7 linked regions of the Coturnix japonica genome follow. The protein of the gene in region 2 purifies or fractionates together with the protein of the main gene of each other region. This does not show direct contact. Links are inferred from orthologs where the notes say so. Each region holds a gene or a part of one and is shown on either strand. Other genes may lie near its edges.

Region 1 (3,819 bases), on a different chromosome or scaffold from region 2:
GAAGCATTTGTCACACGTGTTTACCCACTCTCTTTTTACCCAGCTAGCATTGCCGACAGCACCAGTATGAAATGTATGTTTTAGTTTTCAGACTCTCAACAAGTAGTTACCAAAATGGAAACAAACAAACTAGACCTCAAATTCCCCCCAGAAAGGACTGCTTAGGCAGTCCCACTCCATCATCAACACACCTCAGCGCAGTGGTCATTAATTTTTTTCTTCAGCATTCCTGTACAGCACATTGAACACCAGCAGTCCCCCTGGACCTCAGAAACGAGTGCATTTCCCTAGAACTGCCTGTGCTGCACATCACCTGCTATCACTGCCAAACGCTCAGAGGAAGCAGGACCAGCTGACCCAGATATGACTCAGGAGAGGGAGGGAGCTCACCTTTGCAGAAAAACTGGTTTCAGTAAGAAGCCATCATTCTGGCTGTTGGGTACTCCTTCTACCCCAACGTACTGCTCCATGTAGTTAGCAAGGTGCTACAAGAGATCAATTTCAAGTCAAGACTTCTCTCAAGATAAACACTGCTGCAAAGGACTAGTTTATTTCCAGATGCTCTTTAGGAAGCTGCTGGTACCTCACCCAACCCCAAGATGATTTATGTTGGACCTGTTTCATTAACACACACATTTCTGTCAATGCCCACACCTCCCAGATAAGCTTATCTTCCTGGCAGAAACTCATATTTGGGATTAAGAAAGCTGAAAAGCATTCTTAGACATCTGTTTTGTCTGTCGTACAGCAGACTCCATGGCCACAAAAGTATTACCTGGACCTCCACCGGATCTTCTGTTTGGGTTTCTTCTGTATCCAGAAGCTCAATGGTCATGATCACCTGTCCCTTCCGCTGTAGAAACATTACCTGTAAATGACAGGTGAAAGATGTTGGCCACGAGTCCACAATAAAATGATGGATATTCACAAGTTGTTTGGACAATAAATACAAGAACAGGAGAGGCATAAGCAACAAGGCTTTTCAGTGAGTCAATACACCACCGCACTGTCTATGCTGTTTTTGGTACCCCTGTTTCCATATTGTGGCCTTGGCACTTTAAAACCCATTTCTCCCAGGTGAAGTGGCACAGTCCTGGCAGCAGGTTCTCACCTTGAAACAGTTCTCATCTGCCATGCAGCGTTCAGCCTTCCACTGATAGCTGGTCTCCTTTGCTGCCCGGACACACCTAGAGGATAGGTTACCTCCAGCAGCACCTCGCTTCCTTTCATTCAAGTAGAGCTCAACAACCTTCAAGCAGATGTCATCACTCACTAAATGGTGAAGCTTCCATTAAAAAAATGGAGAGAATTCAGTTAGCAGTCTGGGCCAAGACTTAACTTCAGTGTGTTATGAAAGGAACACAAAACTAAGCATAGCATCATACAAAATATCAAAGATTTAACTCCAGAGACTTTATATACTTTATTTTACCTTTCATTACTTTGCAATATAAGGGAAAAAAGAAAGTAAGGAACTAATGTGCCTAATTTAACAAATAAACAACAAAAACCAACCCTACAATTAGAAGACAGATATTGCATACAAGGGACAAAGCCTTTCTTTTGCCTTCGATTTATCTTGGAAATGGCAGAATTTAAAGTCTGGAACTGAAGAAGTGTTGGAAAAGGCCAGGAAGAGTCAGTCCCCTGAGGTGGGCCCTGTACTGTAGCAGATACTGAACTATCGCACTGAACTTTTATTAAGCCCTTTCTGCCACAGATTTAACTTCTATACATTTGCTGAAAGTTTTGAGAGTTCTTGCATTACAGGTGCTGTAAGAAAGCTATTTGTCCACAGAAGGGAAACATGCTGTCCCCCAAAGAGCATAGTTACCTGGCGGACAATATTCTGCACCAGTTTGTCCATAGTAAAGCCAATATAGGCATGGATAGTGAACATCTCCCTTAGCGTGTCCTCATACTGTGTTGGGTCAATATTCCCATCCAGCAGGCTCCTCACCATATCCAGGAATGCAGGGTAGTACTCCTCCAGTTCCACCTCACCTGGACAGAGGAAAAGAGCAGTCACTTACTACATGCAAAAGGCAGAGTGCAGTCAGGTGTACAGGACAGCACTGCTCGAGAATCATGACATTCAGTACTCGGAGAACCTTTGCAGAATTCTCTCTCAGGAGAACTGACATACTATAACAGTTCTTCCTCAAGCTCTTTTGCAGTACTTTGAGTGGTTAACGGTTTCATCAGAGAACCATTCACATTTTAAAACTAAGTAACACTTTAATACAAGATACTTTGGGAACACTGGACAGCTGTGCACTTGTGGGAAGATTTTATAAACTATGCGTGAAAGCCCTCAAAGGACAAATTACAAACGAGCTGTCCTGTCAGATCAGCTGTACCCATGAACTGCAAACAGAGCAGAGGTTTGGACCCCTACATTCCTTGCCGGCTGGTCGCAGTTACCCAGATACATACAATCAAGCACTAACAACCAGAACATTAATAATGGACTACGTCAGAGCATATTCTTACTTGGCTGCTTCAGTCTTAGCTCCATGGCTGGATCATTGGTCTTTTCTTTTCTCCCCTCACAAAGGAGTTTCTCTCTCTCTTTTTCAGTCCGATATTCTAGAAGCTGCTTCTGTGCTTGACGATAAATCTTTAGGAGCCTTGAGCACAGAGTCTGATGAAGGCGGAGGAAGAAATACCAATTATTATTGACAAAGAACAGACTGTAAACATCATCCAGAGTGTTATGGGGCTCAGTAGCTGTAACATCACAGAAGGTTGCTTTTGTCTCCAAAGGACTGCTTGGAGGCCCAGGCACATGCTTTTTCCGTAGCTCTGGAGTATCCAGGTTCTGCCCCTGCTGGTTTTCTCTGTCTTCATCTGCTGATTCTTCAGAAATACTGTGTTCAGGAGGCTGAGAGAAGAACAACTCAGGTATGAAGTGGTGCACTATCTGCCGAATGGTTGCTTGATCCTCCTTTTGGATGGTAGGCTGACGTTTTACATAATAGCTGATAAGAGATGCTGCGTCTTCCAAAATCTGCTTATCTTCGTAGATAAAGATAAGATGAGGCTCATTTGTGGATGAACTTCTCCCCTCTGAATGCTGCTCCTGATGCTGTAATCAAGAGACAAATAGATAAAAGATCCTTCCACTCCATCCTCAAGTGCCATTCCTGCCATAAGAAATAAGCCAGGATTAACTCTATGCTTGGGACAGCCATTTTGGACTGAGAACTCTTCAGAGCACCTCAAGATGATCCCAGGCACGGAGCGAACCTTCAGACAATAGTGTAAATGAAGGACAAAGAGAATTAATTATTCGCTAGCATACATACCTCATCATAGACGCTCTCAATTTCATTCAGCAAACTCTTGGAGCGCAAAGCTTTGGTGTCATTTTGTTTGAAGTTGACAGCCTGGTGGTCAAGGGACTTCAGATAGGCTTTCTCGTACTGCTCACGCCAAATTTTGTTGAAGCCCTGCTGGGCCTCCCGCCACTCCTCCTCTTTTGCTTTCAATCTGCATAAATGTACAATCTACTTCAGTTTGAAAAGACAAATAAAAGCACCATCACTGGAGATAAGCTGTCCTTTCTAACAGTGTCTACCAAAACCAGCTGTTTAAAAATGCTTGGAAGACTAGAAAATAACAACAATTTCCAACACCTTAACTTTCTCATTGGAGATCATTTCACAGAACCTTTCAGCATTGCAAAAAGAAGTGTATGACCCAAGTATTCAGAAACAGCAGGACAGAGAAGAAGGGAGGACTTAAAACTCATATTTTGCTCCCAAATCAACCTCAAAAACTTGATGTTTTTTTAAAGCACAGTCTGTGAACTCTAAA
Region 2 (4,451 bases):
CTCTTCTAAACTGCTTTCTGTGTTGGGCAGGTAGTGAGGGCTCTCATTTCTTCTCAGAAGCAAACATGAGCAGTAGGATTGCATCCTGTGGTGGTGGCCCTGAGTCTTCAGGCAGGGTGAGGAGGAGGAAGGGATCAGAGCAGCAGAACTGCCTGAATTCAGCACACAAGCTGCCTGTGGAGCCCCAGCATCTCAAAGTGCAGTTTGGGGCTGGAGCCCTGGGCTCAGTCAGGCCCAGTTTAAGCACAGAGTGCTGGCAGGAAGCGGCAGGGTGCTGGTTATGCACAAGCAACCCGGGTGTGGAAGATCTCTCTGTGTCCAAACTTCTCCCTCCTTAGAATCTTAAGGTGTTCACAGGGATACTTTCCAGTTTACCAGCTAACATCCTTCAAGGCATGAGATGGTCTGTTAAACACAGAATAAGTGATCATCTTGCTGTGAATGCTAAGCAGAATTATATCCTTATGGTCCTTATTGCACGGTAACAAAATGAAGTTAGTGTTATTCCCCCTTGCCTGTAGCTGCCCTCACCCATTTACTCTGTGGGGAGGTTTTAGTGGCTTGTTTCCACTGCTCTTTTATGAGGGGCTGGCAAACATTCACAGGGGGGAGCTCATTGAGCTGTGGGGAAGGGTCTGGGCTGAGTGGAGAGGTTGGGGAAAAAGAAATGTGGTGTGGAGGGGTCCTTCATGTTCATGTTGAGGTGAGTTGGGGCTGCGTATGGGAAATTCTCTTTTGTTCCAACATGGGGCTCTGCTTAACCCAGCAGACAGGAAGAGGTCTGTGTTGAATTCTCACACTTAATGTGCACCCATTAGCACTGCTGAGCTCAGTGCAGCGTGGTAGGACTTGTGGTGAGACACGTCTGGGGTCTTGCTGGCAGCCCAAGGGAAAGAAGGGAGGCAATACATTTGCAAAGCTTTGTGTGTGTGTTTCCTAGATATAGTTTTGAACACCCCCAATGGCTCCCCAAAGCTTAACATACCCTGCTTTTGCTGTAGGAAGTGTTTTGGTGCAGGCAAAACCCACCTCCTTTCACTGTAGCATCACACAGATGAACTCCAGCAGCAGAATGGTTTGGGTGTGGGGTTTGCATGTCCTTTAAATGGAAGCTCATGCCCATGGAGGAGGCATCACGGCTGTGTGCTGCGAGGAAGTAGCAGTTTCTCCTGTATGTTAAGATTGGTGATGAAATATTAATGCTCCCAGCTGAGTCACTGGGCAGACCGGGTTGAGTCTCTTGCTTCGTAAGCTGATGGGGAGCTGTAAAACTATGCCAATGACTTAGTTTGATTTCTCAACAACATGAGGCTTGTGCAGCGTCGCTGCTGCGTGTGGCTCAGTGCGTTCCCTGCTTTTGGCAGCACTTCTCATGGCCACGTCAGGCAGGGACAGAAACCTGAGTTAAATTCTATGGAAAACACCACGGAAATGTGTGACCTGGGAGAGGAGGGAAAAAGCCAGTGGGAGATGGCAGCAGGAGCTCAGCTTTTACTGGGAGGAGGAACATCTGCATGGGGAGCTGAGCTGTGGGGTGTAATTGTGAGGTGCCGACTTAAATTAACCTGGTGAAGGATTTCCAAAGGGTTTCAGGCAGTAATAAGGGATGGGAATAATGGGAGCTGTAAAGCTATAGCTGTGCTGTGATTTGCTTATTGACAGAATTGGCAGCTTGTATCTCATGTCTGCTGGGTAAACAGTAGTAAACTGAGGCAAAGTGGCTACGTGTGCTGGCTGGTGAGTCATTGTCTGAGCTGGGATTAAACTCCTGTGCCTCCTGGCTTGCAGGTTTCTGCTCAGAGAGCTCTGTATTTCTTAGGGAAGCCCCATACTTGGCCATACCCTGTTGTCCATAAGGCAGTCTTGTTTGGGTCTGGGATAAAGCTTTCTGATGGTGCAGATGCATGTGCAGCCCCTTCCCCCTGTGAACAGATGGGCTGCTGATGGGCACATGAGATGACAGATGTGGTTGTATTTGAAGCAGTTCGTGTTTTTCCCTGCTGTAACAAAATCCTTTCTGTTCCCAGGTGATGTTGGAAACTATTATTATGGCCAGGGACACCCCATGAAGCCCCACAGGATCCGGATGACCCACAACCTACTGCTGAACTACGGCCTTTACAGGAAGATGGAGATATATGTAAGTGTGATGAAAAAACAAGTGTGTTGTCAGTTGTAATTTTGGTGCTTCAAGCTCTTAAATTCTCTTTGACAAGCCAAAGAGGAAAGTGAAAAAGGATTAAATGGTTGTGTTGACATATTTCTGCTGCATTCTGATTCCTTGCAGTGAGATGTTCTTTGCTTCAGATAAGCTTTGGAGTCTGGAAAATTGGTTTGCTCTCAGTAGCTTAAATATTTTCTGTACCTGGATATGTAGTATGTTCCAGTCTCTGGTAATGGCTTTTTTGCCTTTGAAAATAAATTTCTCTTGTCTAGTGCTGCTGCTTCATTTACTTATTTTATTATTTTTGCTGTTTCTGGGAGTAAATCTGAGACTGGAAATGGGATGTGGGGAGGGCAGTGTTCCCAACCAAACCCTCTGTCCTTGCAGCGCCCTCACAAGGCGAACGCGGAGGAGATGACCAAGTACCACAGTGATGACTACATCAAATTCCTGAGATCCATCCGCCCAGACAACATGTCTGAGTACAGCAAGCAGATGCAAAGATGTAAGCTGTGTGTGTGGGGCTGTGTTCATGTCAGTGCTAAGTGTTGTGCGATTGTATCTGTCTGCTTTGTGTCAGAATCTTCTTTCTTTTTCTGTGAGATAACCAGTTCCTTTAACCTCTGCAGTCCATGAAGGTGCTGAGGATCTCTTGGCAGCTTTAATGCTACAGAAACCTTTCCTTTTTTCGGTCTGTCTTAAACTCTGAGGTGATGTTTTGTATCAGGTCATAAAGGCAAATAGATGGGGGAGGCTCAAGTCTCTTTTAATCATTAGTTTGATACACTGCATTCCTTGAGAGCAGGAAAAAAGAGAAAAGCCCACAGGATCCGTTTATGTCAAATGTGATTTCCAAATTAAAAGAGATACGAGTCCTGAGCCTGCAGTAAGGGCACTTGAAACCCTGGTATTAGCTGAAAGGGACAGATGTTTAGGCACAAGCACATAATAGGAATGAATAGTATGGTTCACAAGTAATATACATTGAAAGACCTCCTATAGTAAATAATTTGACTTAATATACCAAAGAATGTATTTACACAAACTGAACTGTTTACCCCTGAAGCTGATACGGCTCACAGACACCCACTCTGCTCTCTGGTAGTCAACGTTTTCTCTATTCTATTTCCACAGAACTGTTTTTAACTGAAGGAGGCGAAATATGAAAATTAATCTTAAACACACAGAGGGCAGATCTTTTATTCAGCAGGGAGAGGAAACCCCTGCCTTTGCTTTCTTGGGAAGAACAAGCTTCTGCCTGGCTGAGAAACTTGCACCGGAGGCTCAGAGCAGAGGGGAAGGAGTTTTAAAATGTAGATTTAACACAAGCCTGCTGTTAGTGTGTTTAATGGCAGGGGGTGCTGCCTCCTTCCTGCACAGTGTGTGCATGGCCCTGCTGAGCAGCACCAGCTGCCAAATAGAGCCCAGCACAGTCAATGTGCCAAACGTGAGGGCCTGTGCTGGTACAGTGCAGCTCTCATGGGCAGCATCTCTCCCTGCACGCTCCTTTCTGAGATGATTGACTGGTTCCTGCCTCCCTCTGAGCCTTCACCCGGTAGGTGGCGTGACTGTCCCACTGCAGCTCCTGGCACCTGCTGAGCTGGGAGCATCCTTCCATAGCAGCAAACCATGCAGGCAGTGTTGGTGGGACCACCTTCATGTCCTGTCATTTGTGTGTTTTTCAGTTTGTTTTTCAGTTGATTAAAGTCCTTATCAGGCTAGGTTTTGGGTTTTTCTTTAATCAGACAGGTAGTACAAGCTTTACCAATGCTTTGTGACTTGGTCTTACTAATTCTTATGTATTCTTTTCAAGTTAACGTCGGGGAGGACTGTCCTGTGTTCGATGGGCTGTTTGAGTTCTGTCAGCTCTCTGCTGGAGGCTCAGTTGGTAAGCTCATCCGTCGTACAGTCTTTTCCTAAGCAGATTTACATCAAGTTGTTCTGCAAAAGTGATTTGTTGTAGGTGGGGGTGGGGGAGCCCTATGAGCCTATTTCTGACTTCCTCAGGTTGAGATTTCTCCCCATGCTGGAATTCCAGCTTTGCATTTTGACAGACCCCTCTGCGTTTGTTAAATGTATCTTTATTACTCTGAGCTACTTCTTGGATGACTCCACAAAGGTGATAGACAGAACCCTGACAGCAGTGGGGTTTTACCAGTAATAATTAAAAATAAGTAATGTGAGCTGCACAGAAAAGCAAAGGCACAGAAGTTGCCTGGTGTAGGTGCCAGCTAAAAAGCAAGAAAGGGTTATTTTTCTTGTTCTTAGCAGAAAGCCAATGTCTCTG
Region 3 (3,819 bases), on a different chromosome or scaffold from region 2:
GGGACCGAACTCTGCTTTAGGATAGCAGCCTGACCTCTTTGGAAGAGCAATAGAGGCAGTGGGATGACAAACTGGTTGTATGACATGGCTTATGTGACTCACTGCATTGGCATTCTCTTGTAGAGAGTATCGGGTATCATTTCTGAAGAGGTGTGAAGTGTTTTGAGCACTTCTTTGCTTGTTCATAGTTTGTTTTTTGTTCTCATGATGGGTTTCCCAGCTCTTACCCTGTATCGATGACCATGGGAAGATGGATGTCTCAGCTGCTAGAAGCCTCTCTGGAGACTGAAAGCGCTGCTAGCTGTTGCTGTGAGGTGTAGCGTGTAGAATGCAGTCATGGTCATTTTGATCTGAGCAACAGGGAGGGCGTTTGGACTCCATTTTGAGTACAAAGAGTAATGGGATGTGGCTGCATAGGGCTGGTGCTGTTTGGCCTGCAGTGGGGGAGCTGGGTGGGCAGCTCCTCTGTGCTCTTGGCTTTGCTATGGGGATCCTGGCCCATAGGACAAGGCTTGCCAGTTCTCTTGCAACAGTTAATACAGGTTTGCTTACTGTAGGCTCACACTGAAGGAAAAAATAACGCAGTTGATGCAAAGAGTATTGATTAAATGATCAAGGAGGTAAAAGCATTGGATTATCTCTTCCCGTCCTATTCCCCAGCAGGAAACTGAGTGTGTGAAGCTGGTGGCATGTAAAATCCACCTTCCTGTCTTCTGTTAGCTGTAAAGCAAGCATGATATGTGGAGAAGCAAGTTTTCTAAGTGCTGTGGTTTCCTTTCAGTTCATTCATTGCTGTGCTCTTTGGGTTGCAGCTTGGTTGTAAAACCACTCGCTCTGGTTTTGGGAAGGTGGGTGAAGCTGTTGTTTCCACAAGTGCTTCAAAGGACCATCTTGTATTTGCAGCGTTGGATTTTTCTGTACTAAATAACTTTGGGGCGTGGGTTCCTTTTGTTTTAATGGGTATTTTCAAATATGAGAGAATGGCGAATATTAACATTGGCTTTTTTCCCTCTTTCTTCCCCCTTTCCTCCTTCAAGAACCTTTTTAAAACGCTGGGGTTGTTGGAGTGGTTGAATTTTTCCTGGATTTGAGTGAGAAATTCAGAAGACTGAAGCCCAGGCTCACTGTCTACCTTTCACGGAGGCCCAGCCGTGAGAGGACAGAAGAAGGCACGTGGCGAATCATGACAGCGGACAAAGAAAAAGACAAAGACAAAGAGAAGGACAGGGATAGAGACCGGGACAAGGAGCGAGACAAAAGAGATAAGGTGAGGGAGAGCGAGAACTCGCGTCCTCGACGGAGCTGCACGTTGGAAGGAGGTGCCAAGAATTATGCAGAGAGTGACCACAGCGAAGATGAGGACAATGACAACAACAGTGCCACCACGGAGGAGTCCACAAAGAAAAGCAAAAAGAAACCACCCAAGAAGAAATCCCGGTATGAGAGAACAGACAACGGTGAAATCACGTCCTTCATCACGGAGGATGACGTTGTATACAGGCCTGGAGGTAAGAAGTTCTGTGCTGTGTTTGTTTTGCAGCTAGTTGTGCACTTAGCTATAGCACTTAGCTGGCTGCAGCGTGTGCTGTGCTCCTGCTCCAGGTTGTGGTTGTATGGGGGAGGTTGCCACGTTTCCATTGGAGACTATTATGGATCCATATGCAAAACTTTACAGATACATCTTGTAGTATCCCATTTGTTGAAATGGTTGTGAGCTTTCCTTTAAGAATGAACCACCTTTTTCACTTTCTACTCCATTAACTTTGTTTCATATGGGAAGCCTGTTTTAAATTGAGCTGGACTATGCACTGTGCACCTTGGTCTGAGATTGAAACTAGATGTGATCTGAGCTGGAGGATGGATGAGGTGGCATCTTCCCCCCCACTTCTAAGTTGTTCTACAAATCCATTTTGTTTGTTGAGATCCTCATCTCTTCTCCTTGTAGAGTAAATCAGGTGAGTTAAGATCTCACACCCATTATCTCATTCATTCTCCCTCCCAATTCCTAATATATAATAGCTAATATAGCTAATGCCTGTGCACAGCAATGTGTGTACTGAGCAAAGCCACCAGTGTCAGCAGGTGTCTGGGTGTGAGGACAGCAGTGAGAAGCTTATATTACACTCTGCATATCTTGGACGTGCCATTCAATTGCTGCATGGTTCACATGAGGTTTTCAGACTCATATATAAGGATTCAAGGTGTAACCTGTGGCTGTTGCCAGCTAATTCCTTCCTGAAAGTAAAATAGAGATTATTCACCTGGTTGTATTCCTTGTTTTTTGATGTCCCCATGTTCATTTGTGCTGTGTTTTAGTAGTTAATTGCAGTTGTCTGTTTCACCATGAGGGATGTTGTTTTGGACTGTACTGTTCAGAGTGCTGGCTTAGGGGCTCTGCTGGCTTTATATTGCTCTTTGTCAGACGATTGCTGTTGGTGTAGTAATGCTGCTGGAGCAAATCAGATGAATTCCAAATAAAATCCATGGAAACTAGAGAGGTAAAAGCTTGTCTGATTTTTTTCTATGAGGCACAGCGTGTCTCAAGTACCAGAATGTCATTGTGTGGGTAATGTAAGTGGGTGAAATGCTCTATCCAGGTGAGGCTGAAGGAAGTGCCCTGAAGTGCAGGGCTTGTAGCTGGGTGGTATCTGTTGCCTGAGCAGTAGCAATAGGAAGCCTGCCTAAGGATCAGCTTTGGAGCAATCTTATTTTCAGTGTCAGAGGATGAAAAATACGAGTATGTTAGGAACAGCTGTTGTGTGGGCCCAGCAGTACAATGCGATATGCTGGCTTTCACCGCAGAAAGACTTGGCGTCAAATTAAGATGGAAAATCACAGTGCTCTCAATTTCATTCTGGAGCGGATTGGAGGAGAATTAGTGCTTTGTTCGGGGCTGCAGGGCTCTGTGTGCCACTGATGCAGCGACACATGGCTGGAGGTGTATCTGCAGGGCAGCAGGAAGCACAGCTTACACCATTGCAGGAGAGCTATGGAAGGAAGGAGCAGATAGCATTTATTGTTTCCTTACACAATAATCTGTTCAGAAGAGAAAGGGCCATGTACAGACATAGCAGGAAACATAGGGGGGGAGGTCCTTTCCACGTGAGTGATTCTGACTCTGAGATACTTAGGTCTCCTATGGATGAATGTTAGTGCAGTGCTGGAGGGGTGTGAGCAAGGATGAGACCATAATGGACCTGCTTGAGGTTTTTAATACTTTAATTTAAAACATAACTTCCTAACAGGAACGAGCTTCTGAATTCGCACTTCATTGCATAGTATATATTCTAAAAGAAGCGTAGTAGGTGAAAATCTTACATCTTCTGGCTAGGAGGTTCTGTAAAGGGTGATGTACAGTATATACTAAGGATATAAATTATGTACAATTTGAGAGAGATTAAGAGAATTCAAGTCAACAGGACTCACCCAGCAAGGATTAGGAAGCTGGATGTTAGAGGTGTGTGTGGGATGGATACCTGTCTGCTGCTTACATCTCCAGGGCTTCAGGGAAAGAAAATCTTTTCCATTTGTCTGATTCTGTCTCTTAAATGCTCTGATGTGATCAGGAGTGCTGGAGGTCTGTGCTTTGTACCCATGAAGCCCTTGGTTGCAATGTTCCTCTGTCTGCTGTGCAGCAGTTCATCCAGCGCTTGATTTTCTTTGTGCTAAGCTCGGCACCTGTATGTGAGTAACAGGGAACAGTAAATAAATAGATCATCAAGATCCTTTCAAACAGGCTGTGCTGCCGTGTTACCGTGCAAATACTGCTCTTATTAATTTGCACAGACATAACGAACATATGCATAGCTTTAAACCATG
Region 4 (4,551 bases), on a different chromosome or scaffold from region 2:
TGGTGTTCCAAGACACATTTAGATAGTGTCCCCAGCAACATGATCTAATTTTTGTTCAGTCCCGAAGTGGTCAAGCAGTTGGACTCTCATCTCTGAAGGTCTCTTCCAACTGACCCACTCTAAGAGAACTCACCTCCAACTCTCTCAAGATAGTAGCAGCATCATTGGTAACAAAAAGCTTCTCAAGATGGTTGATAACCATTTTGTTCATTCCTAGTGGGAAAAAAAGTATTTATTAGGCAACTGTTGCACTGTACAGATATATTGTTTCCATAGCTTTCTAGTTCACCTGACACATTAAAACACGAGCCCTATTTATAACTTCAGATGCATGTACTTTTGTGAATAACACTTGGGAATGCATTACATTATCAAGAATTCATTATTTCTGAACAAGGAGTTTTCAGAAACATTGGTGCATAATTTAATTGGCACCGGAGAACACTGTTGTCGTTGTGTATCTATCAGAATACAGTGTATCTATCAGAATACAGTACGGTTACATTAATCTTGACTATCTACCGAGTTACCATCTTTCCTCTAAGTTCTGCAGGTCTTCCATACAGCAATCAGACAGCAAAGAGGACAAAGTAACTGAAGCAAAACAGGCACAAAAACCCCAGCAAAAGAAGGTACATACTGCATAGCTTCAGAACTAACCAGACACAACAACTTTATCTGGAGTCCTACAGCAAGTCCAATATGTTTTCTCAAGACACAATTAATTGCCTCTTTGTCAAGGCAAGATTAGCCTTCAGACGCACCATTCTGATCAAAATAACTACAGCAGCTTCAGTGTGGCACAGTGGTAGGAATGCCGCTTTGTAACACCGGAGGGCCCAGCTTTGAATCCCCCTGTGGCACAAGTGGTAGAAGTGCTGCTCTGCTACACATGGGCTCAAATCCCAGGGGTTGGACTCGATGATCTCTAAGGTCCCTTCCAACCCGCACGAGACTGTGATACTATGATACTATGATTTACTTACCATTGGGTCCATAAGCTGTACGGGTGGTTTGAGCAAGTTCTTTGCATGCCTGGATGTTCCTGTAGACAGCTTCCTCTAGTCCCGAGTAATGCTAAAAACAAATGAGACAAAACTGCTCAGAACTAGTCACTTCTCAAAGAGGCACTAATAATAATCATAGAATCATTTGAATTGGAAGGAAACTTTAAAGGCCACCTGATCCAACTCCCCTGCAATACGCAGGGTCATGCACAGCTCCATCAGGTGCCTTTTACCCCATCCAGCCTTTTACCATCTCCAAGGACGGAGCATCTACCAGCTCTCTGGGCAACGTCTTCCAGTGCTTCACCACCCTTATGGTAAAAAATCTCTTCATTACATCCAATCTAAGTCTCTCTTTCAGTTCAAAACCATTTCCCCATCTCCTCTTTTCTTATAGCCCCCCTTCATACGCCAAAAGACTACTAAAATATTAATGGCATACCAAATGCAGCTAGAAAATAACCAAGAGCAGCCTGGAGAAAGAAGGTAGGACTGGGGACATGCAACAGAGTTTTGCTTTTTTACCTATAACTCCACATCACAGAGTCATGTAACTCAGTTTCACATTGAAATGAGTGGCTTAAAAATTTAAAAGTAGTCAGTCTGTGTATTTTTTTAATTCAGTGACTTAATTTAACACGTTGGAGTGTGTATGCCCATGCACCAAGTAACATGGTTTAGTCATGAGTCTCAGGTCAGGTTCATGGCTGGTCTCGATGATCTTGAACATCTTTTTCAGTCTAAATGATTTTATGATTCAGGAAATATTGGTGTTTGAGAAGCTGATCAGCCTGGCTTCAAATGGAAATAATGGATCTCCTGAAAGGGCTTTACTTGTAAACCAGGTAAGCCATAGTCTATGCCTCCCAGAAGAGAGAAACATAGAATGGTTTGGATTGGAAGGGACCTTTAGGATCACCTAGTTCCAACCCCCTGCTATAGTAGGGACACCTCCCTCTGGACCAGGTTTCTCACAGCCCCATCCAGCCTGGCTCTGAATGCCTCCAGGCAGGGAGAATCCACCACTTCACTGGGCAACTTGTTCCAGTGTCTCAGCACCCTCACAGTAAAGAATTTCTTCCTAATATCTAGTCTAATCTACCGTCTTCCAGTTTAAAGTCATTCCCCCTCATCCTGTCAATACATGCCCTTATGAAAAAGCTCTCCCATAGGTCCCTTCAGGTTCTGGAAGGCCACCATAAGCATGCACCTCCCTAATAACTATTTATTCTCTACATGCAGAACAAGCACCTCAGAACACATCCTTCTCATTCAGTAGAACACAGCTCTTTCTATCATCGATCTTTGCTTTTAGAGTACCAGCATCTATGGCACTCTGTTCTCCCCCACCTCTGAAAGAAACCATTCCTTCTCTCCAAGGAAGCCTCCAAAAAAGAACAAAATTAGGGCTGAGCTGTTTATTTTCCATTGTATTAACCAGCAACAAGCAAAACTTCACTCCTTTCTTCCACCTACAATAAGCTGCTTTCTTTCTATTCCATCCTTCAGCAGCACTGGCACCCACAGGCCGAGGGGAGCAACCGAGAGCCCAGACCGCGTGGAGCGGCCGGGCCTTCCAGAACCTTCCCCGCCCATCATGCCCAAACGCCCCGCAGCCTCCTCGCAGCGGGAAGAGGGGAGGAAAGGAGGGAGCCCGGGAGGCGCTCACTACCCGGCCGCTCTCACCTTCGCTCCCTCCTTGAGCATCTGGGCAAAGCCCGGGGCCTTGGGGACGTGCAGCGCCATGGCTCCTCTCCGCTCCGGCCGCGCCTCAGGATGCTGGGACTGGCAGCACGCATGCGCGGGGAGCGAGGCGGACTCGCAGACACAACCAGCCGCTGACAGGGAGATCGAGCGCGCCGTACGGCTTCTCCACAGCGCGGTGATGGACGGCGCTTGGGCTGCGGCCTTAGAATATAAAAGATCTTTAAGATCATCGAGAGCGACCGTCTACCTAACTGACAAAGCCACTGTTAAACCACCGCATGGGGACTCTGCCTTACAGCCCTTCCCGTGGATAACTTTTTCCTGATATCCAGTCTGAACTTCCCCTGGTGCAACTGGAGGCTATTTCCTCGCTTGTCTCTTGGCACTCAAGAAAAGAGACCAACACTGTCTTCCTTACTGCAAGCTCCTTTCAGGCGGCTGTAGAGAGCTATGAGGCTTCCCTTCAGCCTCCACCTCTCCAGACAGAACAGCTTCAGTTCCCTCAGCTGTTCCTCTTAACTGTTTTTCTGCACCATCTTCATTTGTTTTCTCTGCATGCAGTTGAACAACTTGACACCCTTTCTGTAGGGAATGGCCCAAAACTGACAGCCATTAAAGGGCTGACAATAGCAGGACACGGGGAAATGGTTTTAAGTTAAAAGAGGGAAGATTTAGGTTGGATGTTAGGGGGAAGTTCTTCACTAGGAGAGTGGTTAGGCCCTGGAACAGGCTGCCCAGGGAGGTTGTGGATGCCCCGTCCTTGGAGGTGTTCAAGACCAGGTTGGACGGGGCCCTGGGCAACCTGATCTAGTAAATGTGTATGTTTGGTGGCCCTGCCAGGCAGGGGGGTTGGAACTACATGATCCTTGAGGTCCCTTCCAACCCGGGTCATTCTGTGATTCTGTGAAAACTAAGCACAGCACTCGAAGTGTCATCTTGCCATTGCTCACTATGGCCTTAGTCCTGCTGGCCACGCTATTTCTGATACAAGCTCGAATGCCATTGGCCCTCTTGGCCACCTGGGCACGCTGCTGGCTCGTGTTCATCTGGCTGCTAAAGAGCATTCCCCCATCCTTTTCTGCTGGTCAACCCCATTGCACGGAGTTGTTATGACACAGGTGTCAGACTTGACATTTAACCATGCAATTGGACATGGCCCATCAATCTAGCCCATCCAAATTCCTCTGCAGAGCATAGGAAGCAGATCAACAGTACTACCCAGACTTATAGAGGGGTTCACTTCATCCTCTCACCAGTATCACTGATAAAGATGTTAAACGAAACTGGCCCTAATACTGAGCCCTGGAGAACACTACCTGTGACCACTGCCAACTGGATTTAACTCCATTCACGACAACTCTTCAGGCCCAGCCAGCCAGCTAGTTCTTTACCTAATGAATAGTACACCCATGAAAGCCATGAGCAGACAGTTTCTCCAGGAGAAAGCTGTGGAAAACACATACCTTGAAAAAGAAGGGAAATAATATTGCTGAATTTAGGCCACACAGTCAATAAGCTTGTAGCCTAACAGGGACTGAGTTGCTTCACCTCTGCATCGTAAGTAGACCATCTACAGCTTAATGAAATCACTTGAGATGTGGTGTTTAAGCATCCTCAGTAGAACATTCTTCGTTTAGTTTTACCACCCTGTAATTCTTAAAATGTCATCAGTTTTAACTTATCATGACATTGTAATAAGGAGTGCTAATAGAAAATAAAAATAAGGCGCTCCATGAACCAACTTCAGAAGACTGTGTGAGCTTTTGCCAGAAGTCGTTAGAGGACTTATCATAGAATCATAAAATCATGAAGGTTGGCAAAGACCTCTAAGATCACC
Region 5 (4,395 bases), on a different chromosome or scaffold from region 2:
CCCTCCACAGGAGGATAAAAGCTTTTTCACTTTCCTTTTCCTGGGCTGTAAGTTCTCCCCTTGCAGGAGAGCAGTGAATAGTGCAGGTCTGCTGCGTGACACCTGTTGGAGCCACAACACTTCTGCACACACAAATGATGCTTTCAAGAACAAGTTGTGAAACCCAACCCCACAAGAGAGATTTCAGACCTTGCAGATGCAAACCCGAGACACTCCTGAAACAGGGGAACAGCACAGCTGCCGGTCAAGCATCTAAGATTTGCAGGAGCTGCTTTAAAGCCCTTAGGAGGCTGCAGAATGCCAGCTACAGGCACCTTGTGAATATGAACCTCTAGAGAGGAGCTCTGATGCCACTAAGAGCCAGAGATGAGGACAAATCCCAAGCAGAGGGACACTTTTGCATGTCACCTGCTGCCTGAGCAGGCTGGAAGGACACCCCAAACTCACAGATCCTCACATTAGCAGCAACGTTGCTGTCACATTGAATTTTAAGCGTTAGTACCTGGACTGAGCTGTGTAGAGTGAGGATGGTTTGCTCTTAAGGTGGAAAGGACCCAAAGCTTGGAAGCAGCCCATGAGTGGCTCAGGATCAGAGAGGTGACATCCTGGCTGCTTGCTCGTGGTATGCCCTGCCATGTGGGTTCTCCTCGAGCCTTGGCATCCTTACCTATGGTCTCCCTTCTCACATGCAGGCAGAATGAGAGCAGTACCTGCAGCCACTCTGTGACAGCAGAGCCAGGGGAGCTGGGAGAAAGCAGCACAGCACCGAGAGTGCACCCATAGCCCTGCAGCATGGAACAGCAGCCATAGAACTGTGTTGGCTTCACCAGCCACGATGGCTTCCCAGTATGTATGGCTCATACATGCTAGGAAGGTGAGCAACTCACTCCTGTCATGGTTATGCCTTTCCGACAAGCTCACAGCAGACTGGTGGCCATGAGCACAGCGTGAGCTATGTCTTCCAGCACCCGTACACAGCAGCGCTCTGTGCATGGCTTAAACGCAACGGGATCACGTTCTTATTTATGTACCACCTCGCTGGGCGTGCTGAAGGTTTCTATGCCCCCATTGGACACAGTGACCATGCATAAGTTGGGCTTGGAAGGGACCTGTGTAAGAGGAAGGGCTGGGTGCCCTCTGGCCGCTCTCCCTGCTTCAGCCCCAGCTTTACTCACGCTGCCCCTCAGCTGGGGGGGTGGGGAGGAAAGGAGTGGGGCTGTTCCTAACGCCGTGCTGTGGGGTTGGAACTACGTGATCCTCGAGGTCCCTTCCGACCCGGGTCATGCTGTGATGCTGTGTGGGAGCAGGATCCTACAGGTGCTTTGAATCAGCACAGGCTCCTCGTGCTCGCTTGGAAGCGCCAGAGGAGCCTCCAAAGCAGGAAGCAGGAGCCGTGAGGGCAGCGCTGCTGGGCCGAGCTGAGCCGGGCGGGGCGGGGCGGGGCGGGGCTGAGGCGGCCCCGCGTAGTGGGCGGCGCGATGGGCGGGAGGCTCCGTCCCGCAGCGCGCCCAGCGCCGCTCGCCCCGCCCGCCGCTCCCGCCATGCCGGGCTCCCCCCGCACACACACACACACACACGCGGGAGGCTCCGTCCCGCAGCGCGCCCAGCGCCGCTCGCCCCGCCCGCCGCTCCCGCCATGCCGGGCTCCCCCCGCACACACACACACACACACACACACACGTACACACTCACACTCACACACTCAGGGCTCAGCGCGGTACCGGGCCCTGCCCTGCCCCGCCCCGCCGGATGGCTGCTCCCCCCCCCTCAGCCCCTCACGGCGCCGCGTCCCCCCGATGCCGCCTTTCCCCTCACCTGGAGGCGGCGGTGCCCGGCGGAGTCTCGCTCCGTCCCGGCGCTGCGCTGAGCCCCGCGCTCGGCCCGCGGGGGAGGCTCGGGGCGCCGATGTGTGTAACCGCCGCTCGGCCGCCGCGGCGGAACGCTGCCCGCTTCTCTGTTCCCCGGGAAATCCCGCCCCTCCCCGCCGCAGGGAGGGGGGAGACCCGCCTCGCGATTGGTCGAGCCACGCGTCGCTCAGCGCGCGGCCCAATCGCCTCGCTCGGCCCGCCCCCTCCGCCCGCCCCCATTGGCCGCGGCCGCCAGGAAGGGGATGTGGAGAGGAAGGGGAGGGGGGAGCGAGACCCGAGAAAAATGTCCGTACGGCCGGCAAGCCCCGCCCCCTCCCGCCCCCGCAGCCTTCCCATTGGGCGGCGGGCTGAGGAAGCAACCAATCAGCGCGGCGGACCGCTCCGCCGTCACGTCGCGGGGGGGTATAAAGCCACGCCCCCTCTCCGGGGAGCCCTTTTGTGGATGTTTACATCGGGGCGGACCGGGCCGTGATGGCGGCGGCACCGACCGCGCGGGACCGGCACGCACCGCCACGCCGCCTTTGTCCCACCGACCCCACACCACTTCCGGGAGCCAGCACGTGGGGGGGGGAACACAGCCAGCAGCCAATGGCCGCGGGGGGCGGGACCGCACGGCGGCGGAGCGGGCGCTCCCCACCCCCTCCCCTCACACACACACACACACATACACACACATATACACACACACATACACACACACATATACACACTCACATACACACACACACACACACAGCCGCGCTCCCCCCCCACTCGTGCGCGCTCCCGCGGCGACCGTTGGGCGGGCGGGAAAAGCGCGGGAGCGCGCCTCGCTTCCTCCCCCCTCAGAGCTCCCCGGGCCTTCCCATCCCATCACACCCCACATGAGGGGCCCGCTGGGCGGGCAGCGCTGTGACATACCCTGTGACATACCCTGAGCGCGCAGCGAGGCGTCCTGAATGGAAACGGGAACTCCCCCCGGGGCCCATTGGCCCTACGAGGCCGTTCGTCACCGCCGGACCGCCCTCGGGGGGCTGATGTGGGGAGGAGCGACGAGAAAGCAGCTCGGAGGTGAGATCGCTCTTCGGTTTGCTCGCTTAATGTTAAATACCACAGGGGAAAAAAAAAACCAACAAAAACACCCCCAAAAAGCTCCTCCCCCACGCTCCGGGATTATAAAAAAATAAGAATATACACATTCCAAGAGCTTATTACAGTATAAAGTTCCCGATGCAGCAGCTTGCGCTGGGAACACAACCCCCCCCCCCCCATCCTTCAGGGCTGTTCTGCGTACAGTCTAGATGGTCCCACCGAGAAACGAACAAACAGACCAAAAAGGAATAAAAATCATAAGAAAATAAACCATCCCAACCCACCCCCCCTCCTTTTCTTTTTGTCCCTCCTGCCCCGGCTTGCTTGAAGTTAAGGCACAGTTCCCAGCTGGCAGGGCTGTGTCAGTGCCCGGCCGAGCCCTTGTGGGCGGCAGGCAGCAGGCCGCGGCGCTGGGCGTGCTCCAGCACTGCGCTATAGCAGAAGTAATACTGCTCCGGGGTCTGGATGCTGAATGCTCTCTGTGTCCTCATCCGCTGCACCGTCTGCTGGATGTCCAGAGTACCCACATCCTGCAGCTGCGATAGGCAGATGTCCAACGCACACAAAGTACCTGGGGATGAAGGCAAGCAACGCTCAGCCAACACAATGCAATGCAACACCCCCCCTGTGCTGGACTGTGCTGGACTCCTTACCCGTCCTGCCGATGCCGGCGCTGCAGTGGACCACAAGCGGAGGACCCCCCGGGTGCCCCTTGAAGCGTGGTCCCAACGCACTGACAGCCACACGCTGCTGCTGCTTCACAGCCCCCAAGAAGTCAATGAGTGTTGCTGCCGATGAGGGCACGCCGTAATCCGGCCAGCTCAGGTATTGGAAGTGAGAGAGCAACCGCCGCTCCTTGCCCTAAGGGTGAGTGGGGTGGTCAGTGGGATGGGATAGCCCCGCCACAACCTTAGCACATAACCTTAGCACACACCTCGGCACTGTGGAGCTCTAAGATGGTTTTCTTGTAATGGCTGAGGTTCTCCACGCCCAGGTTGGTGATGGTCAGCGCCCCAAAGCGCATCTGGAAATCCTTCTCCAGGGGCCAGTACTGGCCGCACTTCCTCCTGCCCCCCTCCTCCAGCCTGCGGATGAGACAAGGTGACACGGGGATAATGTTCTTCCCTGCCAGCATCGTGTGGTGCCCTGTGTCCCATCAGCTGCTCTCTGGCTGTGACAGCAGCTGATCCAATAGCAAAACCACTTCATTTTGCCACCCAGGGCACTCACCGAGTCGTCATCACAATCACCAGGACGTTCTGCTCCCACACCAGCCTCCAGAAGTCCTCGATGGTTTTCTTCAGGGGCCCTGCAGGGACAGCCTGCTGTCACTCAGTGGGGCTGGGCAGGACAGGCAGCCCCTGGGCATCCATGGATGTGAGAACCACCCAGAGGGTGGTGATGCACTGGAACAGGTTGCCCAAGGAGACTGTGGATGCTCCATCCCTGCAGGCAT
Region 6 (4,370 bases), on a different chromosome or scaffold from region 2:
TGAAGAAAATGTCTTTTTCTCACTTGTGAAAAGCTGAATTTACAGCCTACGCACAATGCTTTTCTGGGAAAGCAAATTTTCTAGGAATGTCAGTTACAATTTTAGGAAGGAAACAATGTGGTAATTTTAAAATTCAAATTAGGTATTGGTGCAGAGAAAGAGAAGAAAAGCTTGAGAGCTGAGTTGTGGCAAAATACCGTGGAACAGGTGAAAAAAACACGTTTTCTCTTTTAGCCTCCTTTCACATCTCTTTTCACACCAGCCTCTTCTTTGAATAATGGCTTTCCATCTTTTCAAAACTTCCATCCTCTGCCAGTGCAATGCAGGGAAGTACTGCTGGAAAAGCTTTTCTTTTACTATTAGATAATTACTGGTTGTTCACTATCTCATTACAAGATCCTTGCAGAGACCAAAATTTTACCATGCAGATGCTAAAAACATCAATATTATACCTCACGTAGGAAAAACTGTAGTGTTTCTTCTACCCACTTTCCCCTGGAAAACCCCCACTAATTTGGCAGATATGGTGAAGTGTAACACACCTTTTCTACAAAATCTGCCTGATTTAATTTAAAGGCTTTGCAGGGTGGGAACCTGTTAAGAACTGCGTTAGGTATGTATATGGTAAAGAACACTGTCACATCAACAGTGCAACAAAAATTGCAGATTATTATGCCAAAGCCTCAATTTTTGGTAGGTCCCAGAAATGACAGTATACTTATTTTTAGAGACGACTATAGCAGTAACTCAACATGACACGGGAGACTTTAAAAACAGCAAGTCTGATTTAAACCAATGGAAAAGCCAGGAATACAGACTGGAGACTGTACTTAATGCACCATATTGCATCTGAACATTTTGTTCCTACCCATCTATCCAAAGCATGACGTTTTGCATTTCATATTAACATTCTGAAGATATGAAAGGATTCTTCAAACCGATGTTCATATGCCGTGTCACAGCACGTACTCTGACTGCTGAGAGAGCTGTTATGTCCACCTTTTAATCATGTCCCCGCCTTCACCTTCGCCTTCCAACCATCCCTCCTCCTATTCCCAAAAAAAAACCCTGGGGCTGTTTTTATTGGTAGCACTATTTCAGCAGGAAGAGCGCTACAAATATCATTAGCTCAGCAGGAAGAGAGCTACAAATACAGTTTGTGGGATTTGAACTCCACTTTGGATTTCTGCAGTACGTCAGCTGTTATGCATATGTACTAAGAGTGAATGCTAACAAATCACTGCAGTAATACTTGATGTTTATATACAAATTCTCATCTTCAAAGCACTTCAGAATTTCCCAGTTCTACAAAATCTGGGAGAGGGAAGAAGAGATGCCGGCAAGAGCCTTTTCTTTAGTGTTGATCTTAACACGATCATCGTTAGTCCCTTTATGCTTCACCATATAAAAAGAATTTTGCAGTCTGCAAATTTGACTGAAGTGCTAAATTGCCAACAACATTTTCAGCAAAAACTTACAAAAATAATTAATTCCCCTTCCATACAGATGGCACTTTTCAGGAACTCTGTTCTTACCTTTGAATTCAAAACCAGGGAAACCTGTGGTATGAGCATAATGCCCTGGGAAATTAATTTACATAGCAAAATAAAGGACATCTTGATTTCAGAAAATTATATATATACATATATTGCAGAGCAATAAAGGAACATAGAACATAATAATGAATCTTAGATATTTATAAAGATTTTTACAGGGTATATCAGTAATTCCTCATGAATTACTTCAGTGTTCCAATGGGAAGTGAGCTTTTGTATCTGGAAGGAAGCCTGTATTACTGTGCTGGCCTGTGGTGGATAGGAAAATGAAGAAAACTTGAAGCTCATTGTTACCGAGCCCGCTTCTGATCACACAGCAATAGAAGGATTTTCCTCAACGCATGAGACCAAGCACAATATTCTGCTCGCTGAACATTTCAAACAATTGCTTTACAAGAGCTCAGCGCCCACATCTGACATGTCCTCTAAGAACTATTTCCAGGCTATTGGCACCCAAACGCAGCCAGCGGGTTCTGCCCTGAGCGTTGGAGCTCCTTCTGGCGAACAACGTGCAGGCAATGCCCCCTCCTGGCTGTGCAGGGCAGGCAGCAGCAAACAAGGCCTCCAGGTACACTATTTGAGGGTGGTTTGTTTTTCTGCCTGGGATGGATCAGGCTTGCAACCCTTTTTTCATTATCATCCTAAAAATGGGCATGAAGTGGAATAAAACCTAAGGTTTGATTTAATGAGAAACAAATATAAAATTATAACTAATGCAACATTCTATTTCTCAGATATTCCATTAGACATGTGGGCCAGTCTTCCCACGTGAGAGCATGATTTGCATTCAGCATGCTTTCTGGGGCACGGAGTTTTGTAACATAACATTTTTATACAGTCTGTGATTTTGAAACATAGACATTAAAGCAGTTCTACTTATATCATTTACGCTACAGTGAGATTCCTCTTGTGTTTAAAGCATTTCTGTGTCTGAGAAAGTCTGGAAGCATGTTAGCATACAGAGGGGTGGGAAATGCATTCTAAGATGAAAGGTTACATGCATTCCAGAAAGCATTCCAAGGAAATCAAAAGGCAGCCTTTGTGGGACAACTGTAAAAATGCCAGCTCCTTTTTTACACAACTTTACTGTAGTGCAAGTAACAAAAAATAATGAAATATTAAATGAGTTTGAAAGCTTAGGAAGTAATTTAAAATGAAATTAAAAATATTGCTGATGAATAACCATAGTGGAAAGTGTTTAGTTACACATCAATTAAATTCTCTCCTTTTTGTATCTGCAATACCTCAAATGATGTTTTCTCTGTGTGTATTCTCCTGCTAGCCAAGTATCCTGAAAAAGCAGAAACTGTTAAATATTTCACAACTGGAAGAAAGAAAGAAAATGAAACCAGTGAGATATTTTTTTTTTTTTTCTTAAATTAAGACTTCCCTTCAGAAATAAACTGAAATTCAACATGCTTGAATCACATATCCTTCTGTTTACAGCCTCCCACTTAAGTCTAAGCTCAACAACAACACTGGCAGAACAGAGTAAATTTGAGGAACTGAAATAAACTATTTCTAGATAGCAGTTAAGTGAAGCATCCTGTGCACCAAAGTGATGATGTTTGACGCATCACTCACCAAACCTGTTTCCGAAAAAAACATCACCTTTCTCAATTGGCTAGTTAAGATCTTTTAATTGTTCTGTCCTCAAAGTTTTAGCTTCTTGCATTTACTGCCTTTCTCTTAAGTCTGCCTGTAAAGAAAATCAGAAGAGAAAAAAAAAGTGATTACGCTGGAGCTATCTTTGGCTGCACATTGTCTTTGTGGTTTTGACACAGTGCGGTGCAGTAAGACTGACATTATCCTACCCACCCTCGTGTTCTACAGACGTAACAGTGTTTCAGCCTGTACTTATGTGATAACACTTTATCGTACTACTATGTGCCACCCCAAAGTATGGTATGTGTGCCATGCACAGGAAGCGATCTGGGACAGCCATTTCTCACACACCCATGTCTTGGGAGATAGACTAATTTGCCTGCATTCTCAGACAGCCCTTACCAATAAACACCAAATCAGAAAAATTTCTTTGGGATTTGGTTGTTTCCACTGTTTTCCTTTGCTGCAGATGTTTGTTCTCTAGTGTAATACATTTTATTGAAACTGCTGGAATTAGAAAGCATTACTGAAAATGAACAATAAAAAACACATTCCGGTGTTGCTGCTTGTTTTTCTTAATTACAAACACAATTATGAATGTGTATCATATTCTGGAAGTCCGGACTGCCATAGATCCTAAGTGCTTAATTTGCAATGCAATATTTGCGGGGGAAGGTAGAAAGGTTCTAAGACTTTTTAGGGATAAAATGATAAAGTGTAGCCGTCCTTGATTTGATAGCATTTAGAAATGTGGGATTACTAGAACAAAGACCACAAGTATTGGAGTTTTATGGGGAATTTATGTGTATTTTTCAGTCTCAGTATACATCACTGCAAAGAGACAAGAGAAATGGGAGTGAAATGAGATAGCCCTTCCAAGAATTGTGAAAGTTGTTGACACAACTGGAAATGGCTCAGAGGTCCTTTAAATGCTACACAGAATCTGATCCTGAGTCTAGATATACATTCCCAATGTGTTTCATATGATTTTGATACAGTAAATGGATTTGTCCCAGAAAAGCTTGCAGTAACTTGCCACGCTAGGAATGTTTTGCCTTGCTCATCCTGGAAATCTCTGCTATTACTTTTGAATGCATTTATCTAATTTCTGCAGGTATTGTAAAGAAGAAAAGCTCTTAGCAGAGATGTTAATGAAATCAAGGTCAGATGAAAATCACACATTTCGTTTGTTCTTAGGACAGGAATAAT
Region 7 (4,304 bases), on a different chromosome or scaffold from region 2:
GCGTATCTCAATACTCACCGATCCCAGGCGACACCACCCTCTCGTAATGATACGGGTTGACACACACACTGTCACACTTGAGATCAAACGCGTACTGACAATACTTGACGTGCTTCAACGCCATAGGATCCAATGGGACCCCATAGACCCCATAGGAATCAATAGAACTCAATAGGACCCCATAGGATCCTATAGGACCCAATAGGACACCATAGGATCCAATAGGACTCTATAGGACCCAATAGGAACCAATGGGGCTCCATAGGAATCAATAGGACCCCATAGAACTCAATAGGACCCCATAGAAACCAATAGGACTCCATAGAACTCAATAGGACCCCATAGGAATCAATAGGACCCCATAGGATCTAATAGGATCCCATAGGATCCAATAGGACCCCATAGGATTCAATAGGACCCCATAGAACTCAATAGGACCCCATAGGATCTAATAGGACCCCAATAGGACCCCATAGGATCTAATGGGACCCCATAGAACTCAATAGGACCCAATAGGACCCCATAGGATCCCAATAGGACCCTATAGGACCCCATAGACCCCATAAGACCCCATAGGACCCCATAGAACTCAATAGGATCCCATAGGAACCAATAGGACCCCATAGGACCCCATAGGATCCCAATAACACCCTAATAGGACCCCATAGAACTCAATAGGACCCCATAGAACCCAATAGGACCCCATAGGATCCCAATACGACCCCATAGGACCCCATAGACCCCATAGGACCCCATAGGATCTAATAGGACCCCATAGGATCTAATAGGACCCCATAGACCCCATAAGACCTCATTGGACCCCATAGGAACCCATAGAACCCAATAGGACCCATTATAAACCCCGTAGTCCCTTACGCAAATTGCGTAACTCCTCCCCATTATAAACCCCTATTCCCTTACGTCAATTGCGTAACCCGACTCCCACTTACGCAAGCTCCGTATCTCCCCCCCATTATAACTACCGCACTCCCTTACGCAAATTGCGTAACCTGAGCCCTCACTTACGCAAATTGCGTAACTCCCCCCATTCTTTCCTATGGCCTCCCTTACGCAATTTACGTATCTCCCCCCATTAAATCATAGGACCCTATAGAACTCAATAGGACCCCATAGGACCCTATAGGACCCCAATACGACCCGATAGGACCCCATAGGACCCCAATACGACCCCATAGGACCCCATAGGACCCCATAGGACCCCATAGAATCCCATAGGATCCAATGGGACCCCAATGATACGGGTTGACACACACACTGTCACACTTGAGATCGAACGCGTACTGACAATACTTGACGTGCTTCAACCCCATAGACCCCATAGGACCCCATAGGATGCAATGGGACTCCATAGGACCCCATAGAAATCAATAGGACCCCATAGAAACCAATAGGACTCCATAGAACTCAATAGGACCCCATAGGAATCAATAGGACCCCATAGGATCTAATAGGATCCCAATACGACTCAATAGGACCCTATAGGACCCCATAGAACTCAATAGGACCCTATAGGATCTAATAGGACCCCAATAGGAACCCCATAGACCCCAATAGGACCCTATAGGAACCCAATGGGAATCAATAGGACCCCATAGAGCCCCATAGGACCCCATAGAGCCCCATAGGACCCCATAGGATCTAATAGGACTCCATAGAACTCAATAGGACCCCAATAGGACCCCATAGGAACCCATAGAACTCAATAGGACCCTATAGGATCTAATAGGACCCCATACACCCCAATAAGACCCCATAGAAACCAATAGGACCCCATAGGAATCAATAGGACCCCATAGGAATCAATAGGACCCCATAGAAACCAATAGGACCCCATAGAACTCAATAGGACCCCATAGAACCCCATAGAACCCCATAGGACCCCATAGGACCCCACAGACTCCATAAGACCCCAATAGGACACCATAGGACCCTATAGGACCCCATAGGATCTAATAGGACCCCATAGGACCCCATAGGACCCCATAGACCCCAATAGAACCCCAATAGGACCCCATAGGCCCTAATAGGACCCCATAGAGCCCCATAGAACCCAATAGGACCCCATAGAACTCAATAGGACCCCATAGAACTCAATAGGACCCCATAGAACTCAATAGGACTCCATAGAAGCCCCTTACGCAGTTTGCGTAACTCCCCCCCCATTAACCACCATAGTCCCTTACGCAAACTACGTAACTTCCCTTACGCAACCTCCGTAACTCCCATTATCGAACCCCCCGCCCTTACGCAAACTGCGTAACTCCTCCCATTGGCTCCCTAGTCCCTTACGCAAATTGCGTAACTTCCCCTACGCAAACTCCGTATCTCCCCCATTATTTCCTATGGCCTCCCTTACACAAATTGCGTATCTCCCCCCATTATATCATAGGACCCTGTAGGACCCCATAGGACCCCAATACGACCCCATAGACCCCAATAGGAACCCATAGGACCCAATAGGACCCCATAGACCCCATAGGACCCCATAGGACCCCAATAGGACCCCATAGGACCCCATAGGACCCCATTGTACTCACCGATCCCAGGCGACACCACCCTCTCGTAATGATACGGGTTGACACACACACTGTCACACTTGAGATCAAACGCGTACTGACAATACTTGACGTGCTTCAACTCATTCTTATGCAGGTCGGGCCACCTCCATAACCTCGCATAGATCACATGGGGGAACCCTTTCCTCCCAGCCACCTGCAGCCTCCCGTCTAATGTACGTTGTATAGTCACGCATTTACTCGGGTGAGCCCCGTTGGTCGTAATGGCGGCGATGAGAGAATCCAGCTCGTCTTTCTTCTCCTTCAGCTTCTTAACGAGGCTCTCGATGGCTCGTTTGGCGAAGGTCTCGCTCTCTCCTCCCTGTCTGTGGCACATTAAGCTGTGCACGATGCTCAGACACGCGTCGTTGCTGCTGGGGGGGGTGGAGATGGACATGGCGGACACCGGGAACGATGGAGAGCCCGATGGAGGCCGCTAAGATGGAGGGACGCAGCACATCCGGGTACTTAGGGGGGGTTCCGGGTTGGGAAGCCGCAGTACATCCGGGGATTTGGGAGGGACTTCCGGGTTTGAGTTACATCCGGGGATTTGGAGGGACTTCCGGGTTTGAGGGACATACGGGTACTTAGAGGGACTTCCGGGTTTGAGTTACATCCGGGGACTTCCGGGTTTGGGAACCCGCAGTACATCCGGGGATCTGGGAGGGACTTCCGGGTTTGAGTTACATCCGGGCATTTGGGAGGGACTTCTGCATCCGGGAACTTAGAGGGACTTCCGGGTTTGAGTTACATACGGGTATTTAGAGGGGGCTTTCGGGTTGGGAACCCGCAGTACATCCGGGGATTTGGGAGGGACTTCCGGGTTTGAGTTACATCCGGGGACTTAGAGGGGACTTCCGGGTTGGGAAGCCGCAGTACATCCGGGAACTTGCAGGGACTTCCGGGTTTGAGGGACATCCGGGGACTTACAAGGGACTTCCGGGTTTGAGGGACTTCCGGGTTTGAGTTACATCCGGGGACTTGGAGGGGCTTCCGGGTTTGAGTTACATCCGGGGACTTAGAAGGGACTTCCGGGTTGGACGCCCGCAGTACATCCGGGGACTTAGAGGGGACTTCCGGGTTTGAGTTACATACGGGTACTTAGAGGGGACTTTCGGGTTGGGAGCCCGCAGTACATCCGGGGATCTGGGAGGGACTTCAGGGTTTGAGTTACATCCGGGGACTTACAAGGGACTTCTGGGTTTGAGGGACTTCCGGGTTTGAGTTACATCCGGGGACTTCCGGGTTGGGAACCCGCAGTACATCCGGGGATCTGGGAGGGACTTCCGGGTTTGAGTTACATACGGGTACTTAGAGGGGACTTCCGGGTTTGGGAGTGAGCATGAGTTACATACGGGGATTTAGAGGGGACTTCCGGGTTTGGGAACCCGCAGTACATCCGGGGACTTGCAGGGACTTCCGGGTTTGAGGGACATCCGGGGACTTGGAGGGACTTCCGGGTTTGAGTTACATCCGGGGACTTCCGGGTTGGGAACCCGCAGTACATCCGGGGATCTGGGAGGGACCTCCGGGTTTGAGTGACATCCGGGGACTTGGAGGGACTTCCGGGTTTGAGTTACATCCGGGGACTTCCGGGTTGGGAACCCGCAGTACATCCGGGGATTTGGAGGGACTTCCGGGTTTGAGTTACATACGGGTATCTGGAAGGCACTTCCGGGTTTGGAGGTGCGCATGCGCAACATCCGGGCACTCGCGGCGCGGCCTTAA

What was found.
Region 1: the proteins of HDAC1 (region 2) and SIN3B purify together in Homo sapiens (co-immunoprecipitation; 12 studies listed by BioGRID and IntAct, counting the BioPlex papers as one, with this or other methods). This does not show direct contact. The link is inferred for Coturnix japonica from reciprocal best matches to the Homo sapiens genes HDAC1 and SIN3B.
Region 3: the proteins of HDAC1 (region 2) and RERE purify together in Homo sapiens (co-immunoprecipitation; 6 studies listed by BioGRID and IntAct, counting the BioPlex papers as one, with this or other methods). This does not show direct contact. The link is inferred for Coturnix japonica from reciprocal best matches to the Homo sapiens genes HDAC1 and RERE.
Region 4: the proteins of HDAC1 (region 2) and CCT8 purify together in Homo sapiens (affinity purification with mass spectrometry; 4 studies listed by BioGRID and IntAct, with this or other methods). This does not show direct contact. The link is inferred for Coturnix japonica from reciprocal best matches to the Homo sapiens genes HDAC1 and CCT8.
Region 5: the proteins of HDAC1 (region 2) and SIN3A purify together in Homo sapiens (affinity purification with western blotting; 42 studies listed by BioGRID and IntAct, counting the BioPlex papers as one, with this or other methods). This does not show direct contact. The link is inferred for Coturnix japonica from reciprocal best matches to the Homo sapiens genes HDAC1 and SIN3A.
Region 6: the proteins of HDAC1 (region 2) and ARID5B purify together in Homo sapiens (co-immunoprecipitation; 5 studies listed by BioGRID and IntAct, counting the BioPlex papers as one, with this or other methods). This does not show direct contact. The link is inferred for Coturnix japonica from reciprocal best matches to the Homo sapiens genes HDAC1 and ARID5B.
Region 7: the proteins of HDAC1 (region 2) and SMAD4 purify together in Homo sapiens (affinity purification with western blotting; 3 studies listed by BioGRID and IntAct, with this or other methods). This does not show direct contact. The link is inferred for Coturnix japonica from reciprocal best matches to the Homo sapiens genes HDAC1 and SMAD4.

What each region holds. Positions count from the first base shown.
Region 1 is NC_029543.1:3,317,093-3,320,911, forward strand, and holds part of SIN3B (paired amphipathic helix protein Sin3b), read right to left. Parts: intron 3,493-3,819; coding exon 3,309-3,492; intron 3,089-3,308; coding exon 2,494-3,088; intron 2,005-2,493; coding exon 1,835-2,004; intron 1,286-1,834; coding exon 1,112-1,285; intron 869-1,111; coding exon 776-868; intron 486-775; coding exon 391-485; intron 1-390.
Region 2 is NC_029538.1:4,508,041-4,512,491, reverse strand, and holds the start of HDAC1 (histone deacetylase 1), read left to right. Parts: upstream 1-1,578; 5' UTR 1,579-1,963; coding exon 1,964-2,140; intron 2,141-2,551; coding exon 2,552-2,669; intron 2,670-3,977; coding exon 3,978-4,052; intron 4,053-4,451. UniProt on the Homo sapiens protein: Histone deacetylase that catalyzes the deacetylation of lysine residues on the N-terminal part of the core histones (H2A, H2B, H3 and H4).
Region 3 is NC_029536.1:2,676,433-2,680,251, reverse strand, and holds part of RERE (arginine-glutamic acid dipeptide repeats protein), read left to right. Parts: intron 1-1,037; 5' UTR 1,038-1,183; coding exon 1,184-1,508; intron 1,509-3,819. UniProt on the Homo sapiens protein: Plays a role as a transcriptional repressor during development. May play a role in the control of cell survival. Overexpression of RERE recruits BAX to the nucleus particularly to POD and triggers caspase-3 activation, leading to cell death.
Region 4 is NC_029516.1:93,548,538-93,553,088, forward strand, and holds the start of CCT8 (T-complex protein 1 subunit theta), read right to left. Parts: upstream 2,828-4,551; 5' UTR 2,754-2,827; coding exon 2,694-2,753; intron 1,078-2,693; coding exon 987-1,077; intron 214-986; coding exon 134-213; intron 1-133. UniProt on the Homo sapiens protein: Component of the chaperonin-containing T-complex (TRiC), a molecular chaperone complex that assists the folding of actin, tubulin and other proteins upon ATP hydrolysis.
Region 5 is NC_029525.1:1,983,425-1,987,819, forward strand, and holds the start of SIN3A (paired amphipathic helix protein Sin3a), read right to left. Parts: upstream 2,836-4,395; 5' UTR 2,779-2,835; coding exon 2,769-2,778; intron 1,980-2,768; exon of another isoform or gene 1,816-1,979; intron 1-1,815. Other genes in the region: PTPN9 (tyrosine-protein phosphatase non-receptor type 9), read right to left, coding at 3,302-3,510, 3,593-3,800, 3,874-4,024, 4,170-4,248. UniProt on the Homo sapiens protein: Acts as a transcriptional repressor. Corepressor for REST. Interacts with MXI1 to repress MYC responsive genes and antagonize MYC oncogenic activities. Also interacts with MXD1-MAX heterodimers to repress transcription by tethering SIN3A to DNA.
Region 6 is NC_029521.1:6,795,326-6,799,695, reverse strand, and holds the start of ARID5B (AT-rich interactive domain-containing protein 5B), read right to left. Parts: upstream 3,056-4,370; 5' UTR 1-3,055. UniProt on the Homo sapiens protein: Transcription coactivator that binds to the 5'-AATA[CT]-3' core sequence and plays a key role in adipogenesis and liver development.
Region 7 is NW_015439872.1:57,711-62,014, reverse strand, and holds the start of SMAD4 (mothers against decapentaplegic homolog 4), read right to left. Parts: upstream 3,012-4,304; 5' UTR 2,974-3,011; coding exon 2,559-2,973; intron 1-2,558. UniProt on the Homo sapiens protein: In muscle physiology, plays a central role in the balance between atrophy and hypertrophy. When recruited by MSTN, promotes atrophy response via phosphorylated SMAD2/4.